2 linked regions of the Arabidopsis thaliana genome follow. The protein of the gene in region 1 purifies or fractionates together with the protein of each later gene. This does not show direct contact. Each region holds a gene or a part of one and is shown in the gene's direction. Other genes may lie near its edges. The genes, in order: AT1G76550 and ALATS.

Evidence for each region.
Region 2: the proteins of AT1G76550 (region 1) and ALATS fractionate together in Arabidopsis thaliana (co-fractionation; one large-scale study listed by BioGRID). This does not show direct contact.

What each region holds. Positions count from the first base shown.
Region 1 is NC_003070.9:28,721,672-28,729,250, reverse strand, and holds AT1G76550 (Phosphofructokinase family protein), read left to right. Parts: upstream 1-2,139; 5' UTR 2,140-2,321; coding exon 2,322-2,411; intron 2,412-2,863; coding exon 2,864-3,036; intron 3,037-3,125; coding exon 3,126-3,238; intron 3,239-3,375; coding exon 3,376-3,450; intron 3,451-3,538; coding exon 3,539-3,652; intron 3,653-3,772; coding exon 3,773-3,840; intron 3,841-3,958; coding exon 3,959-4,042; intron 4,043-4,182; coding exon 4,183-4,236; intron 4,237-4,422; coding exon 4,423-4,503; intron 4,504-4,592; coding exon 4,593-4,686; intron 4,687-4,777; coding exon 4,778-4,851; intron 4,852-4,962; coding exon 4,963-5,073; intron 5,074-5,167; coding exon 5,168-5,212; intron 5,213-5,289; coding exon 5,290-5,346; intron 5,347-5,456; coding exon 5,457-5,561; intron 5,562-5,641; coding exon 5,642-5,758; intron 5,759-5,869; coding exon 5,870-5,973; intron 5,974-6,056; coding exon 6,057-6,351; 3' UTR 6,352-6,594; downstream 6,595-7,579. Other genes in the region: AT1G76570 (Chlorophyll A-B binding family protein), read right to left, coding at 1-119; CP12-3 (CP12 domain-containing protein 3), read right to left, coding at 562-966; CDKB2;1 (cyclin-dependent kinase B2;1), read left to right, coding at 6,900-7,126, 7,421-7,562. UniProt on the Arabidopsis thaliana protein: Regulatory subunit of pyrophosphate--fructose 6-phosphate 1-phosphotransferase.
Region 2 is NC_003070.9:18,592,003-18,600,415, reverse strand, and holds the start of ALATS (Alanyl-tRNA synthetase), read left to right. Parts: upstream 1-1,936; 5' UTR 1,937-2,104; coding exon 2,105-2,399; intron 2,400-2,664; coding exon 2,665-2,903; intron 2,904-3,208; coding exon 3,209-3,349; intron 3,350-3,701; coding exon 3,702-3,848; intron 3,849-4,055; coding exon 4,056-4,208; intron 4,209-4,598; coding exon 4,599-4,728; intron 4,729-4,979; coding exon 4,980-5,076; intron 5,077-5,234; coding exon 5,235-5,355; intron 5,356-5,670; coding exon 5,671-5,730; intron 5,731-5,828; coding exon 5,829-5,879; intron 5,880-5,948; coding exon 5,949-6,044; intron 6,045-6,169; coding exon 6,170-6,271; intron 6,272-6,417; coding exon 6,418-6,540; intron 6,541-6,912; coding exon 6,913-7,056; intron 7,057-7,143; coding exon 7,144-7,215; intron 7,216-7,305; coding exon 7,306-7,381; intron 7,382-7,462; coding exon 7,463-7,605; intron 7,606-7,689; coding exon 7,690-7,798; intron 7,799-7,885; coding exon 7,886-8,073; intron 8,074-8,172; and 3 more.

The sequences.
Region 1 (7,579 bases):
GAACGGGACTTTGTCACGGCAATTCTATTACGAGGCTTGGACACGAGAATCCTCGGAAGAGAATGAATTGACGAATAACTTGAGGAAAGTGATGAAAGCTTCTCCTGAAACAGTGCCATGGAATTTGGCTCACCGTCAAATCTTGATTTGGCTGTCTGTTTCACTCGAGAAGAAGAAAGCAGAGGTGAAGTTAGAAGAGCAAGAAGCGGTCTCTAATTTTCCACAAAAATTAAAAATAACCAAATTTTCAAAGTTATGGATCTGGCCACGTGTAATGATATTCGCCAGTTCTTTAAAAAGCCCGGACTCGGCGGATCCAGATTATAGGCCCAATTAAGTAACAGGCCACATCGTTAGATCCATAAACAATCAAAACAACCGTTTTGTTCCAAAGCAAAAGATCCAAAATGCAGAGTTTCATTCCAAATCAATCGGTGTAAGTGAACACGATGAACAACGGTTTCAATGGACGATTGAGATTTATTAATCAGAATCAGTCTCTGTTCTAAGTCCTCTGTTTTGAGATTAGCTACAATCATTAAAAACACGAAAACTCAAATTTTAGTCTTCGTAGATTCGACACTCGTCGGTCTCTGGATTCTCCTGGCAGAAACTCTCGAGCGGATCCTGATTCAGTAACTTCAGCTTGATCCTCAGATCTGCTCTGGCTTGACTCACTTCTTCAACTTCGTCCCACGCAACTCTACACTCCTCCGACATCTCTTCCGCCTCGCAAACCTCTGTCGCTTCCTTCACTTTCTCCTCTATCATCTCCGATAGTTTCTCCTCCCTCATCTTCGTCCCCATATACTTTGCCGTCGCCTTCGTCACCATCATCAGGCTGAATTGTCTCGGTACTGTTTCTCTGAAACGTAAAATATTTGATCCAGTTGAGACGGGCCGTCGCTCCCTTTGTGACGGAAGCAACACTCTCCCATGACTCGCCGTCGCCGAGCCCGAGATCATTTCTACGAATTTCGTTTCTCTTCTTCGTCTTTCAGAAAATTCTTTATTCACCTTTTATTATTAATGGTTTGGGCCGTTTGACTATAGTTATCGTAATTACAAATAAGCCCTCCAATCATCAATGTTCGATTGTCATTTCACGTTTTTTTTTTTAATGCGGCATTATCCAAACTACACTCATCAAACATTTGACTTTAGAAAAAAATATTATTTTCTTCTCATAAGGTAGTTGAGATAAGCACAATGCAAAGCTGACCCCTTTTACCTACTCCTTTTGTTGTTCTAGGTGTTCACCAACTTTGATGTCCTTTGTATCATCATAATCTTATGCTTTTATTATATACTCCTACTCTCATCGTAATATCAAAGCTTATTGTTTTTGAGGTCTTATCACACTAGGCCTATATTATGAAAATAACAATTACCATTAATATACCTAATCCCATCGATACTGACTGATGAAATTCAGTTGGTAGATCTTTAAATAATGACAGGCCTTTCCTACGGTCAACAGAGTAAATAAGAAGCCTTATTAAAAGCCCAAATCAGGTCAAATAATAAACAAATCCATTTTTTTAAAGATCCATGTGCATAATAAATATTTATTTTCGATGGGTAGTTTATCAATTATCAGGCAATAATAATACTTGGGGAAGAGGGAATGAGAGAGTCGTATCTTTTACTATATGTTTGCCTTTATTCCTTTGTAATTACCATGTAAAAGCATATCTCCCTATTGAATGCTATATTCCCCAATATTTCCATCTTCTTTTTTTTTCTCTCGCTATTTCCGTATTTACCCTTCACCTATCCTTTGGTGCTCATTCACTCTCCCTTTTAGCATATCATCATATCCTATTTTTTGCTTTTATTTTTTCTTAGTTTGAAAGTTTGGTCGCACTTAGGTGGGGAATTTGTCAACTCAAACTAAACCAAAACCTAACCGCATTTATAAACTAAACTTAAAACCAAACGTACACTCATACAGTTCGATAAATTTGCAGTCTAAAACCTTTTAAAACCCATAAAATATGAACACCAAACCGAATTAGACAATTTGGTCACTAACCAAACATTACCAAACCGAAAAAGGTAAGGGTATATATTTATATCCAATGGCATTTTCGTAAATAACCAGAATAACAAGGGCTGATCGAGAAAAAGCGTGGACTGAAAGAAAAAAAAGAAGAAGACCAAATTTTGGCTGTTTGGTTGATCGTATCGCCCAAGTCCCCCGCATACTATATAAATACTTTTGACGGGCCAAAGGAAAAAACTTTCTCTGAATCTTCTCTGAGTCTCTCTGACACTCTCACCAACCTAATTTCTCACAAAAACCTAAAAAGTTATCGCCCATGGATTCAGATTTCGGAATCCCCAGAGAACTCTCTCCTCTTCAACAACTCCGATCTCAGTACCACCCTGAGCTTCCTCCTTGTCTCCAGGTACTTCTCCTTCTTCCTTTTATTTGTATATTCGTATCTTCCTTAGATCTCTTGCTTCCTTCTCTCGTTCACTGTCTCCAATGTTTGGATCTCTATGTTTTTCATTGATATCATCTCTTCTGCTGTTTCGTTTTCTCACAATTTCGTCACGTCGCGAATATTTTGAATCCCTTCGAGCTGTTTATTTTGATTGTCTACTCGAGGAACTTGCAATGTTGTTTCCGTTCATGCAGATCTGTTTACACTGTTATTATAATCGGGATCTAGGGTTTATGATCCTTTTATACTTACTCGTCTGATTTAACATTTCAGTTTAGTGTGGTAGGTAGAATTGCCTTTCAACGTGAACTACCATGATGGAGTGATTTTCTGGAACAGTGATTGAATCGTAGTTTTTTTTTTGGTTGGATGATTCGTAGTTTAATTCGTTATTGATTCAATGTACATTACAGGGGACTACTGTCCGTGTTGAACTTGGTGATGGAACCACTGTGGCAAAGGCTGGTGATGCTCATATCATTGCCCGTGCCTTCCCACATACTCTAGGCCAGCCTTTGGCTCATTTCCTCAGGGCAACTGCTAAAGTTGCTGATGCTCAGATCATTACTGAACATCCAGTGAAGAGGTGTGCATGCATCTGCATATTTATAGATCTCTGGAATTTCTTGTTCTGTGGTTTTGTTGTTGGTTAGAGCTAGTTGTTTTCTATTGTAGGGTCGGAATTGTGTTCTGTGGAAGGCAGGCTCCTGGTGGGCACAATGTAGTTTGGGGTCTATACGAGGCTCTCAAAGTGCACAACGCGAAGAACACTTTGCTTGGATTTTTGGGTAAGTCCCTGTTTTTTATCTGTTAGTTGGTTTTCTTATTTCTGTAACTTCATTGTTTGCTTACTATAAAGTCACATCTTACTTCCGTATTGATGTGTGCCTGGTCATTAATATGAAACTTTGGCTACCTGTAACAGGTGGTTCTGAAGGTCTCTTTGCCCAGAAGACCCTGGAGATCACTGATGAGGTCCTCCAAACTTACAAAAACCAAGGTTGGTGGTTGGTGGTTTGATTAAGATTATTCAGAACTTTATCTCTGCTGCTTTCTGACATATGGCATTTAAATGTATGTCGTATTAGGTGGCTATGATATGCTTGGAAGAACCAAGGATCAGATTAGAACAACCGAACAGGTCAATGCTGCACTAAAAGCATGCACGGATTTGAAATTGGATAGCCTAGTTATCATTGGAGGTACCTACTTTTCCTCTTTTTCGGGTGTCTGTTTTAGTAGATGTTTTGTTCTTAACTTGTGTAAATATGATTTTTTAAGTTCATCCCAGAATTTTCTAAATCAATGTTTTTATTTGTTAGGTGTAACATCAAACACAGATGCCGCTCATCTTGCTGAATTTTTTGCTGAAGCAAAATGCTCAACAAAGGTCCTAATTTCTTCCCAGTTTTTCTCTTTCTTTGTCTGATCTTGTATCATGAATCACTTTAGTGACATTTGCACTTCACCTGATATCGCTAACAGCAGAAATTACCAATATGTTTCAGGTAGTTGGTGTTCCGGTCACTATTAATGGAGATCTTAAGAATCAGTTTGTGGAAGCAAATGTTGGTTTCGATACTACATGCAAGGTAACTTTGAAATCTAGCGCTTTTTTTTCTTTTACTTTGTAGGTATTGTAGCCAACATTCTTTCATTTCGCTCACCGTTCTTTTCAGGTTAATAACATTTTAACTCGTTATTTAGACTAATATCATTCTACTGTGTACAGGTGAATTCTCAGCTCATTAGCAATATCTGCACCGATGCCCTTTCAGCAGAGAAGGTAAATGTTGATTCCTTCCAAACGTTATCATGTTTTAGAAAGATTGCTAGGACACTCATAACCAACCTATATTTTGTTGGTTAATAATGTGAAATTTATTATGGTTTGATAATTGCGAAGTTGGGTTCCTTATGATTCTGTTATCAAATTTTCTTCTCAATAACATACTTTCCTCCGTATTGCCAGTATTATTACTTTGTCCGTCTCATGGGTCGGAAGCATTCACATGTTGCCCTTGAGTGTACACTTCAGTCTCACCCCAACATGGTATTCTTCCAAATTCTGAATATATTCAATCGATAGTCTTGGCAATGCTGCATCTAGTTTCTCATTTGCATTTGATGCGATTGTCTCAGGTGATACTGGGTGAGGAGGTTACAGCATCTAAGCTCACAATATTTGACATCATAAAACAAATCTGTGATGCTGTTCAAGCAAGAGCCGAACAAGGTCTGATAACTAAAACGAGCTTTTGGTATGTTGGAAGTGATGTCTTTTGCTTGTTCCCTAACTTTATTGATAAACTGTCTATTTGTATCAGACAAAAATCATGGAGTCATCCTAATTCCTGAAGGGCTTGTTGAGAGTATTCCTGAACTCTATGCTCTGTTGAAGGTAACGATTCAATACTGGCAAACATTTCTATTTATCATTTAATGTGCTATTTTTTATTGTTTCTTGAGTTCCAAAACATAGTAAGCATTTACATGTTGTTGTGCGATGCAGGAAATTCATGGATTGCTTAAGGAGGGTGTGCAGGTTGATAATATTTCTACTCAGTTGTCATCTTGGTCATCTGCTTTGTTTGAGTTTTTGCCTCCATTCATTAAGAAACAGGTTCTAATTCTTTGACATGGTACTTTTCTTTGTTTTTTCTCACATGTAAACGAGTATGTGTTCTTATGATAAATTGTCTTCTTTGTTTCTGCAGCTACTTCTCCATCCCGAGTCTGATGATTCTGCTCAGCTATCCCAGGTAAGAAGAAAGAAAATGATGGAGTTACTGTGCTATAAAAAGTTGGAATTCTAATTGCTCATTTACTTTCTTCTTAGATTGAGACGGAGAAACTTCTGGCTTATCTTGTGGAGACTGAAATGAACAAGCGCTTGGTATGTTGCACATCTTTTTCACTTGTCACAATCCATTTTTTTCAAATTTTTTTGAATAACCTTGCCTGAATATTCAAGTTGTCCCTAAAACTAAGTTTTGAAAATGACAGAAAGAAGGAACCTACAAAGGGAAGAAATTCAACGCTATCTGTCACTTTTTTGGTTACCAAGCTCGTGGATCTCTTCCATCAAAATTCGATTGTGACTACGCCTATGTATGTGATCGCCAAACTAAAATGCTATTGCAACTTCAATATTATGGACATTCACACCATTGATTATAACTTTGATGCAGGTTCTTGGACATGTATGTTACCACATCCTCGCAGCTGGTTTGAATGGTTACATGGCGACAGTGACTAACCTGAAGAGTCCTGTAAACAAATGGAAATGCGGGGCTGCGCCTATCTCAGTTGAGTTTTGTCTCTTATTTATAAGGCTAAAGTTGTTTAGTATATGTGTTGATTTCTGACTTCAAGTTTCAGTTTTACTGACCCCAATCTCTTTCTCTGTTTAACCTTAGGCAATGATGACGGTTAAGCGTTGGTCCCAAAATTCTGGTTCTACTACGATTGGTAGACCTGTAATTCATCCAGCTTCAGTTGACTTGAAAGGAAAAGCATACGAGTAAGCTTTTGTTCCTCACTCATTAGACAAAGATTAGAATGAACATGAAATCAAGTGATATAATTTGTCAAATGATTTTGCAGTCTATTGAGACAAAACGCGCAGAAATTCTTGATGGAAGATATGTACCGAAACCCAGGACCAGTCCAGTATGATGGTCCAGGTGCAGATGCAAAGGCGGTAAGTCTGTGTGTAGAAGACCAGGATTACATGGGGAAAATCAAGAAGCTGCAGGAGTATCTTGATCAGGTGAGGACGATTGTGAAACCGGGTTGCTCTCAAGATGTTTTGAAAGCGGCATTGAGTGTTATGGCCTCGGTGACTGATGTTCTCACTACGATCTCATCTTCTTCCACCAGCGGTCAGCAATTTGCTTAAAGATTTTTTTATTGTTTTGGTTTTCCCTTTAACCATAAACTTCATTAGCTCTCTCTCTCTCTCTCTCTTTCCATTTTGAAGTCGTCTTCTGATTTACGCAAACTTTATTGTTCAAAGTTGAGTTTAGGAAAAGGATATTCAAAGTTAAAGGATTTGAGTAATGCTTTTTTAATGAAGAAGTCTGTGTTTGGGTTCACTAATCTTCTTGTTGCCTTCTCGATCATAATTTGTATATGGTGCGACCAAATCAAAGTACCTACGGATATATATGACAAGTGGACACAAATGAATAAATGTAAAAATTAAAATTAAATACTATAGTACGTGGCAAATTAAAAAAAGGCGTTTATGAAAAGACCGCTCCTCCACGCTCCAGTTTGAATTTCGAAAAATCAGTCCGTTGTGAAAGCCCAAGAATAAGGATTCTATAATTTCAGGTCTCATTTAATTATATAACCTATCTACACTTTGATCTCCGACAATTCACTTTCCCAATAAGAACCAACTGAGAGAGAGAGAGCGCCGGAGAAGAAGAATTTTAGAGAGCGATGGACGAGGGAGTTATAGCAGTTTCCGCCATGGATGCTTTCGAGAAGCTTGAGAAAGTTGGTGAAGGGACATACGGGAAAGTTTACAGAGCCAGAGAGAAAGCTACCGGGAAAATCGTCGCTCTAAAGAAGACGCGTCTCCATGAGGACGAAGAAGGCGTTCCTTCCACCACTCTCCGCGAGATCTCCATTTTGCGAATGCTCGCTCGTGATCCTCACGTCGTCAGGTTAGGGTTTTACCTCTGATTCGATAAAATTGCCCCCATATTCTCGATCTTGTAGTCGCGTTAGGGTTTATATAGTCGATTTCTCACTATCTCGCTTGTTTTCCAGATTAGATAGATCTCAATTTCAAATCGTAGTAATCAGTTCGAAGAGTCTACTAATTGTTAGATGATTTGGCTCTGAGAAACTGTTGATAGATGTTTCCCTAGAGTTTGATCTGGATCGCTGTATCAGTTAGTTTTCCAGTGATTGCAAAATCAATTATATACGGAAACTTTATTTGTCATCTTTTTCAGGTTAATGGATGTTAAGCAAGGACTAAGCAAAGAAGGCAAAACTGTACTGTACCTGGTTTTTGAATACATGGACACTGATGTCAAGAAATTCATCAGAAGTTTCCGTAGCACTGGCAAGAACATTCCAACCCAAACTATCAAGGTTTTTAACCACCTTAT
Region 2 (8,413 bases), about 10 Mb from region 1:
TTATTCAACTCCCGTTAACACCTCCGTTAACCATTCTAAACGATGTCGTTTTCGTTACTATAAATCATGTTTTACCCTTTTATAAGCTTTTAAAATCCCTTGTAAATCATTCCAATGCCACTTACTTATGCTTAAAAAAACATTGTAAACCATGCTAGCCCTTTTTAAAAATCCTTGTAAATCATTTTATGCCACTTACTTATGCTTTAAAAACGATGATAAATCATGTTTTACCTTTTTATAAGCTTTTAAAATCCCTTGTAAATCATTCAATGCCACTTACTTATGCTTTAAAAACGATTGTAAATCATGTTTTACCCTTTTATAAGCTTTTAAAATCCCTTGTAAATCATTCAATGCCACTTACTTATGCTTTAAAAACGATTGTAAATCATGTTTTACCCTTTTATAAGCTTTTAAAATCCCTTGTAAATCATTCAATGCCACTTACTTATGCTTAAAAAACGATTGTAAACCATGCTAACCTTTTTTAAATCCCTTGTAAATCATTTTATGCCACTTACTTATGCTTTAAAACGATTGTAAATCATGTTTTACCCTTTTATAAGTTTTCAAAATCCCTTGTAAATCATTCAATGCCACTTACTTATGCTTAAAAAACGATTGTAAATCTTGTAAAACTATTGTAAAAAGTTTTAAAATGATTTACAAAGGTTTAAAAAGGGGTTTTAAAGTATTTACCTATGTTTTTAAAGACTTTATAAAGATTTTAAGAGGTTTTAAAATGATTTACAAGGGTTTTTAGCAATTACCAAAGATTTTAAAAAACTTTACAAGGTTTTTTAAAAGAGTTTTTAAAAAATTTACAAGGATTTTTAAAAGCATTTTTTTTGCTGGGAAACAAAATTTACGAGAAAAAATTTTGGCGGGAAATTTATTTTTGGCGGGATTTTTTTTTTTTTGGCGGGAAAAAAAGGTTTGGAGGTGTTCTTCAATGAATAGGGGTGCTTGATGAGGCTTGTATTAAATGGTAGAAGTCCATGGAGAAATCGAAGTGTTCAAAATCGGAGGTGTTCTTCAATGGAAGCTTTACTATGGAAATGTTTTGTTTCGTTAAAGATGAAGAAGAAGAACTTTAAGCGTATATAAGTATCTGTGTTTGTATAGAATGACAGAGAAATCTTTGCAGGTAGAGTGGTCAAATGACCTTTGATTTTTCTCAAATGATAGGGGTTCGAATCCCAGGTCTGTCATTTCTTTTTAAAGAAAAACGAAAACGACGTCGTTTAGAATGGTTAATGGAGGTGTTAACGGGAGTTGAATAATCCGTTAACGACTAATTTTTTTGGCCTGGTCAATAAAATATTCATGGTTTAAATGGTGATCAACGATAACTTCATGTTTAAAATGACCATATATAAAGTTAACGTATAAAACTGTCATAATTTGAAAGTTGAGGTATTAAATAACATTTTTCCCTTTTAATAACTGTAACCAATATGTAACAGAAATCCATCCAACCCAATTTGATCAATAGCGTAAAAACTCATTATTGTTATAAAATTTTAGGTAGTTTACATCAAAATAATATCATTCATTTTTTATACTATAAAAATAGTATTTAGATTAATATTTAACAAGAATAAGAATAATTTTTATATATAGATCATATCAATCCACATAATAAAAAGAGAAAAACTCAAATATGAAAAAAATTCAAGTAACAAAAATATATTAGAATTACATTTGGTTGATTGGAAAAAAAAAAATTACGTGTAAAACTATAGTATTATCTGAGAAACGAATACAAAAATTTGCAACAGTAGCAGCAAAACAAATTCAAAACTTGCGGCAACGACAACAGCAACAACAACAACGAAACAAACAATAACATGCGAGGCAGTCTCACGGCTAGTGGCAGCAAACCCAACAGTTTATCTAAACGAGAACCAAAATTTACTCTCGTTTTTTTTTTAATGTTATCCTTTGATGAACAAAATGTATTTTCCAAATTTTACTTTTTTTATTTTTTAAGTATTATCCCTTAAAATAATATATCTTGCGGAAAAGGAATCGGATTAAATAAATTTTAACGGTAGAAAATAGGATAGGAGGAGAGAGAGAAGGTCTTTTATTGGTTTGAATGAGATTAGTGAAGGCAGCTTCTCTTCTGATTTCTTCAACCAAACCTCCGTCTAGGGTTTTTTACTCTTCCCATCTCCGCCGCCCTTTTTTCTCTCACTTCCGTTTTTCTTCCTCTTCGTCGACGTCTTCCTCCGTCGCAGTCATGCCGGGTTCCGAACCATCGGAGACTCAGTGGCCAGCAAAGAGAGTCCGGGATACTTATGTCGATTTCTTCAGAGGCAAAGGCCACAAGTTCTGGCCATCAAGCCCCGTTGTTCCTCATAATGATCCTACTCTTCTCTTCGCTAACGCTGGTACGATAACTTCGATTCCTCATATCTGTTTTTGCCGATAAGATTGGGAATTTGTCCAAGTTGATCTATGGAATTCAGATTCTATAGAGTTGACTTATTCTGTCTTCTTTTGTCTTTGAAGCTTTGGGACTTATTCAAATTTCTCAATTTCAGTTTTGGTCGAAATTTTCTGATATTGATACTGAGCTATGTAAATTAAGTTCTCTTGATATGTCTGGCGAAAAATAGAATTATTAATGACATTGAAACTTCTCTGTTTTTCAAGGAATGAACCAGTATAAGCCAATATTTTTGGGTACGGCCGATCCAAATACTGAGCTTAGCAAGCTATCTCGGGCATGTAACACCCAAAAGTGTATTCGTGCTGGTGGAAAGCATAATGATTTGGATGATGTCGGCAAAGATACGTACCATCACACCTTCTTTGAAATGCTTGGTAACTGGTCCTTTGGAGATTATTTCAAGAAGGAAGCTATCGAATGGGCTTGGGAGCTCTTAACCAAGGTAATTAAATACCTGGGAAATTTGTCTCTGTTTACTTGATTTAAGAAAAATATACATGGTATTATTCAGTAAACTATTGTCTCCCTCCCTTGGGACGGTATGTCTCAATTTTGTTAAGTGATTCTTCTCTTTTCATTTGGTTGTACATTTCAGTTTTGTAAAGTGATTCTTCTCTTTTCATTTGGTTGTACATTTCAGTTAGATACCTTGTGACAGTATTTCATAATTTTGTAAAGTTACTATTCTCTTTTCGTTGAGGTTGTTTATTTCATTGAGGTTGATACCTCCCTGTTTTCATGCCTCAGGTCTATGGGCTACCGACTGATCGAATCTACGCTACATATTTTGGCGGTGATGAGAAAGCTGGCCTTCAACCTGATAATGAGGCTAGGGATATATGGTTGAAGGTTCTTCCATCTGGACGTGTGCTGCCATTTGGTTGCAAAGTATGTATTGATTATTTAAGATAATAACTTTTAATCTGTTACCTAATTTTTTTGAATCCACTACTCATTGATTTCCTCTCTCCTGAGGTTACTTCACAAGTACTTCAGCTAAGTTGCCTTTGTATTGTCACCATTGTTTCTTGTATATATTGACACATCTGTTTGTCAATGCTAACGACAACCAACTGTAAGCTTGAATGCATTTTGGCTAGGAATACGCTATCATGTTTGGTAGTTGGCAGGCTTTAAAAACCATTGTTTATGATTTACAGTCAAAATCTTGTACAAAATGTAAAACTTAAGGGTTTTTAAATGCTGTTTTTCTTTCATTTAACTTTTGATTAAACTGCAGGACAATTTCTGGGAAATGGGCGACACAGGTCCGTGTGGACCTTGTACTGAAATACATTATGATCGCATTGGTAACCGTGATGCTGCATCCTTAGTTAACAATGACGATCCAACATGTTTAGAAATATGGAATCTTGTCTTTATTCAGGTACAAACCCTCTCTGTCCCAATTGTTATTTAGTTCCATTTTACTAATCTTTATCTCAATATCACAATTGTTTTAATGATTTTGTAGATTGTGTTACTGAAAACTCTATATTGTGCAGTTAGCTAGATTGTTATTGCTCCTTTAGCTGTGCTATCATATTCCCAATTGTTTCCTCTGACTGGGATGTTACTTATGTCTTCAAAATAGTTCAACCGAGAAAGTGATGGCTCGCTAAAACCTCTGCCTGCTAAGCATGTTGATACCGGGATGGGCTTCGAGAGGTTGACTTCTGTTCTTCAAAACAAAATGAGCAACTATGATACAGATGTGTTCATGCCTATCTTTGATGACATCCAAAAGGTAATTTGTGAAAACTTCTGTTGATGGTTTCATGACAGCTGTTTAATGATGGTTTCATTGAGTTATTTTTGTTTGGCCTCCTCTTAGGGACGCATTTGTCACCTTAATTAGTACTATCATCATTTTAGTTCATCAATTTTGAAGTGGATCATGGGTTCTATGCTTTACGTCGAGACTCCGTCAATTGTTTTTGAATATTTCTGGTTTATTGAATTTGGATTTCATGATAAAGGCATTCTACTATGGGTATCCTGGAGATTATTCGTTGTTAGCTGTGTCACTTTTCATGTATTTTTCTTAGTGAGAGGATTGAAAAAATCTTCAAATTGCTCTGTTTACCCTAGTTGTTGCGAATCTTAAGTTTAGGTGTTGATGCTTTCACTTTTTTAGGCAACGGGAGCTAGGCCATATTCTGGAAAAGTTGGTCCGGAAGATGTTGACAGAGTTGACATGGCATATAGAGTGGTTGCTGATCATATTAGAACCCTATCATTTGCAATTGCGGATGGCTCTCGTCCTGGTATATACTTGGTTTCTTGTCTCAATCACAATTGTGGTGGTTACAGAAAATACAATCGTCTTAGTATTCAATCATTTATTTGAGTTCATACTTATATGTTCTCAGAAAAAGTGTTTTTGGTTCATTTATTCTAAGTTGGGCATGATGAGTTTGTCAATTTTCTTCCTCAGACAATCTGTTATGTTATACAAATAGAGGTTTGTTATTTCTTGTAGTCTAACAAGTACCAATTAATATACTATCTCTTGCAGGTAATGAGGGCCGTGAGTATGTTCTGCGGCGTATTCTTCGTCGAGCGGTTCGCTATGGAAAGGAGATCCTAAAAGCTGAAGAAGGATTTTTCAACGGGTAGGAAATTATGTTTGATTTTCGTTGCATGTTTTGTTTGAATATTGTTTCAAATATTGTTTCGTTGTAGCTGGAACGTTTATTTCTGTCTTGTATCTTTATAAATGAGCATATTTTTTTGACACATGTTTTATCTCGGGCTTTCATATTACCTGTAGGCTTGTAAGTTCTGTCATTCGGGTGATGGGCGATGTCTTTACAGAGTTGAAGGAACATGAGAAAAAGATCACAGATATAATTAAAGAAGAGGAAGCAAGCTTTTGCAAGACCTTGGCAAAGGTAAGGGCTGGATTTAATTTCCGTCAAAGCTTTGAACCTCTTATCTTATTTTGTTTTGGGTTCTTCTGGCTCGTCGCACTGAAGTAAAAGAGACAGTTCACAGCTTCAATCAGTGGCATGTGATATTTCTGTATAGATTGTTTCCAATTTCATCATTGTTCAGTTTTAATGATGGTTAGACATAATTATAGTATTTTCTATAGGGAATCTTTTTTCTGAAAGATGAATTGGCTTTACCTGGTCGTTCCTCCCTTTTTTATGTGAATAGGTGGTGAGTATAAGAACAGTTAGACTGATTATAAATTTTCACGGCAGGGAATTGAGAAATTTCGGAAAGCTGGACAGGCGGTTCAGGGGAATACACTGAGTGGAGATGTACGTATCGAATCATTTTTGTGATGTATGTTAGGCGTTGCAGTATTTTCATCTGGGATGTTTGAATTCTATCTCAACATGTTGTCTTCTCTTTGCAGGATGCTTTTATCTTATGGGATACATATGGTTTCCCGTTAGATTTAACTCAGGTACGTAAGTCATTTATACTTATTTCTGAATGTTCGTGTTATTTTCTAACTTTTATTCTCGGGGTTCAGTTGATGGCTGAAGAAAGAGGGTTACTGGTTGATGTTGATGGTTTCAACAAAGCCATGGAAGAGGCGAGGGAAAGATCGAGAAGTGCCCAGAATAAGGTGTTTCAACTTTCCTCTTGTTTACTTTCTTAAAGAGCGTTTAATGCCAAACTTACGTGTGACTATGAACGAAGTTTGCAATCACATCATCTATTAACCAATCTTTTAATGTCATTTTTTTATAGCAAGCTGGTGGTGCCATTGTTATGGATGCTGATGCTACATCAACATTGCACAAGGCTGGTGTTTCAGCAACAGATGATTCTTTTAAATACATTTGGTTCCAGGTTTGTCCTTTTATTCCAGAAAACTTGCATGTTGCACCTGAAATGTTCTTATGTTGGCGTAGAAATGAAGAAGTTAGGGCATATAATAGTAAATGGATTTTGCTTTAAAGAAACCTTTATTGGTACTCTGCCACATATCGCTGCAGGACCACGAGAGTGAACTAAAGGCAATCTATACTGGCTCTACTTTCCTAGAAAGTTCAGCTGCTAGTGATAACGTGGGACTAGTATTGGGGTCTACAAGCTTCTATGCTGAGCAGGGTGGTCAGGTAATCCATTTTATTTGATATGTATTTTAGTTTGCTAATTGTTTTTCATTTCTGATCATATGACTGGTGGCATGAAATTGCAGTCTTCAGTATGTTCATCTTGGATTTGTATATATATACAAATGTAGACATGGCAGTAACACCATGAACACAATCATATCAGAACTGCATTGTTTGAATTTATGTATCGGCTGGCAAATACCATGATATAGTTATTGTTGGTTTTGCATACTAATTTCTGAAGTTGTCGTTGACAGTCACATAAATATTTTTAGATTTCATATCCATGAACAAGGTTAAGCTTTTGATTCACTTCCAATCATCTATATGTATATAAACTCTGTGCCTCTAACATTTTTTCTCTGGCAATAGATTTTTGACACTGGACTTATAGAAGGCTCGTTTGGGACATTCAATGTATGCAATGTACAAATATTTGGGGGCTTTGTTCTTCACATTGGTTATCTCTCTAAAGAAACTGGAGAGGTATCTGTGGGTGATAAAGTGATTTGCAAGGTAACTCTCTGCATCAAACAGTGTTTGTCTCATTCACCATATTTGGTACTATCCAATTTGTTTCCACCTTCGTTTTCATGCGTATAGGTTGACTATGAGAGGCGTAAACTCATCGCTCCTAATCATACTTGCACACATATGTTGAATTATGCCCTGAAGGTATCCCTTTTCTATAATTTAAGTAACCTAAACTGTGATTTTCTAATTTTTTCTATTGGATCTGAAAATATTCATGTCCCATGAATTCAGGAAGTGCTCGGGGATCATATTGATCAGAAGGGATCAATTGTTCTTCCTGAAAAACTGCGATTTGATTTTTCTCATGGTACATTTTTGAATAAAGTCATTTTTATTTTGATGTGGATGGTCATCTTAATTGTCTGATGGGTTCCATAATTTCGAGTAGGCAAGCCGGTTGATCCTGAAGATTTGAGAAGGATCGAATCCATAGTGAATAAACAGATCAAGGATGAATTAGATGTGTTTTCCAAGGAAGCTGTGCTTTCTGAAGCCAAGCGCATCAAAGGTCTAAGAGCAGTGTTTGGAGAAGTAAGCTGTCCATCAGTTCTGTAGCTATACCTTTTTAGTTTGGTTTCTAAGAATTGTTAAAGCGTTCTCTCTTACTCTTTTTAGGTCTACCCCGATCCCGTCAGAGTGGTGTCAATTGGGAGGAAGGTTGAGGATCTCTTGGCTGATCCTGAAAACAATGAATGGTCATTGCTTTCTTCCGAGTTTTGTGGAGGTCTGTTTCCATTGGCATTAGCTATTGGGACCAAGATATTACGTTCTGAATAGAATGTTGAGTATAGGGTTATTTTGACAATTCCAGGAACCCACATAACAAACACCCGCGAAGCCAAAGCATTTGCTCTTCTATCGGAGGAGGGAATTGCTAAAGGTATTCGTAGGGTAACTGCTGTGACTACTGAATGTGCTTTTGATGCATTGAATGCGGCGTCCTTACTTGAAAGAGAAGTAGAGGATGCCTCCAGAGCGGAGGGAAGTGCATTGGAAAAGGTTTTCTCCCTCTCTTTGTCAAACTATTGACAAAATGAAGACGATGTCGTTACTTGGATTCACGTAAAACTTATTGTGTTTGTATTTGCACATTCACAGAAAGTTTCTGCTTTGAAAAGCCGAGTAGATGCAGCAATTATCCCAGCAGCTAAAAAGGCAGATATTAGGACTAAGATTGCTTCGCTTCAGGTTATAAGCTCTTTCAGCCTTACAGTCAGCAGCTTTGTCTAGATTTCCCTGTAATTTTGTAATCAAAGCAATTCTGAAGTGGCAATTATTGTTTTCCTAACTTCGCAGAATGAAGTAAGAAAAGCTCAGAAGAAAATAGCGGAACAAAACC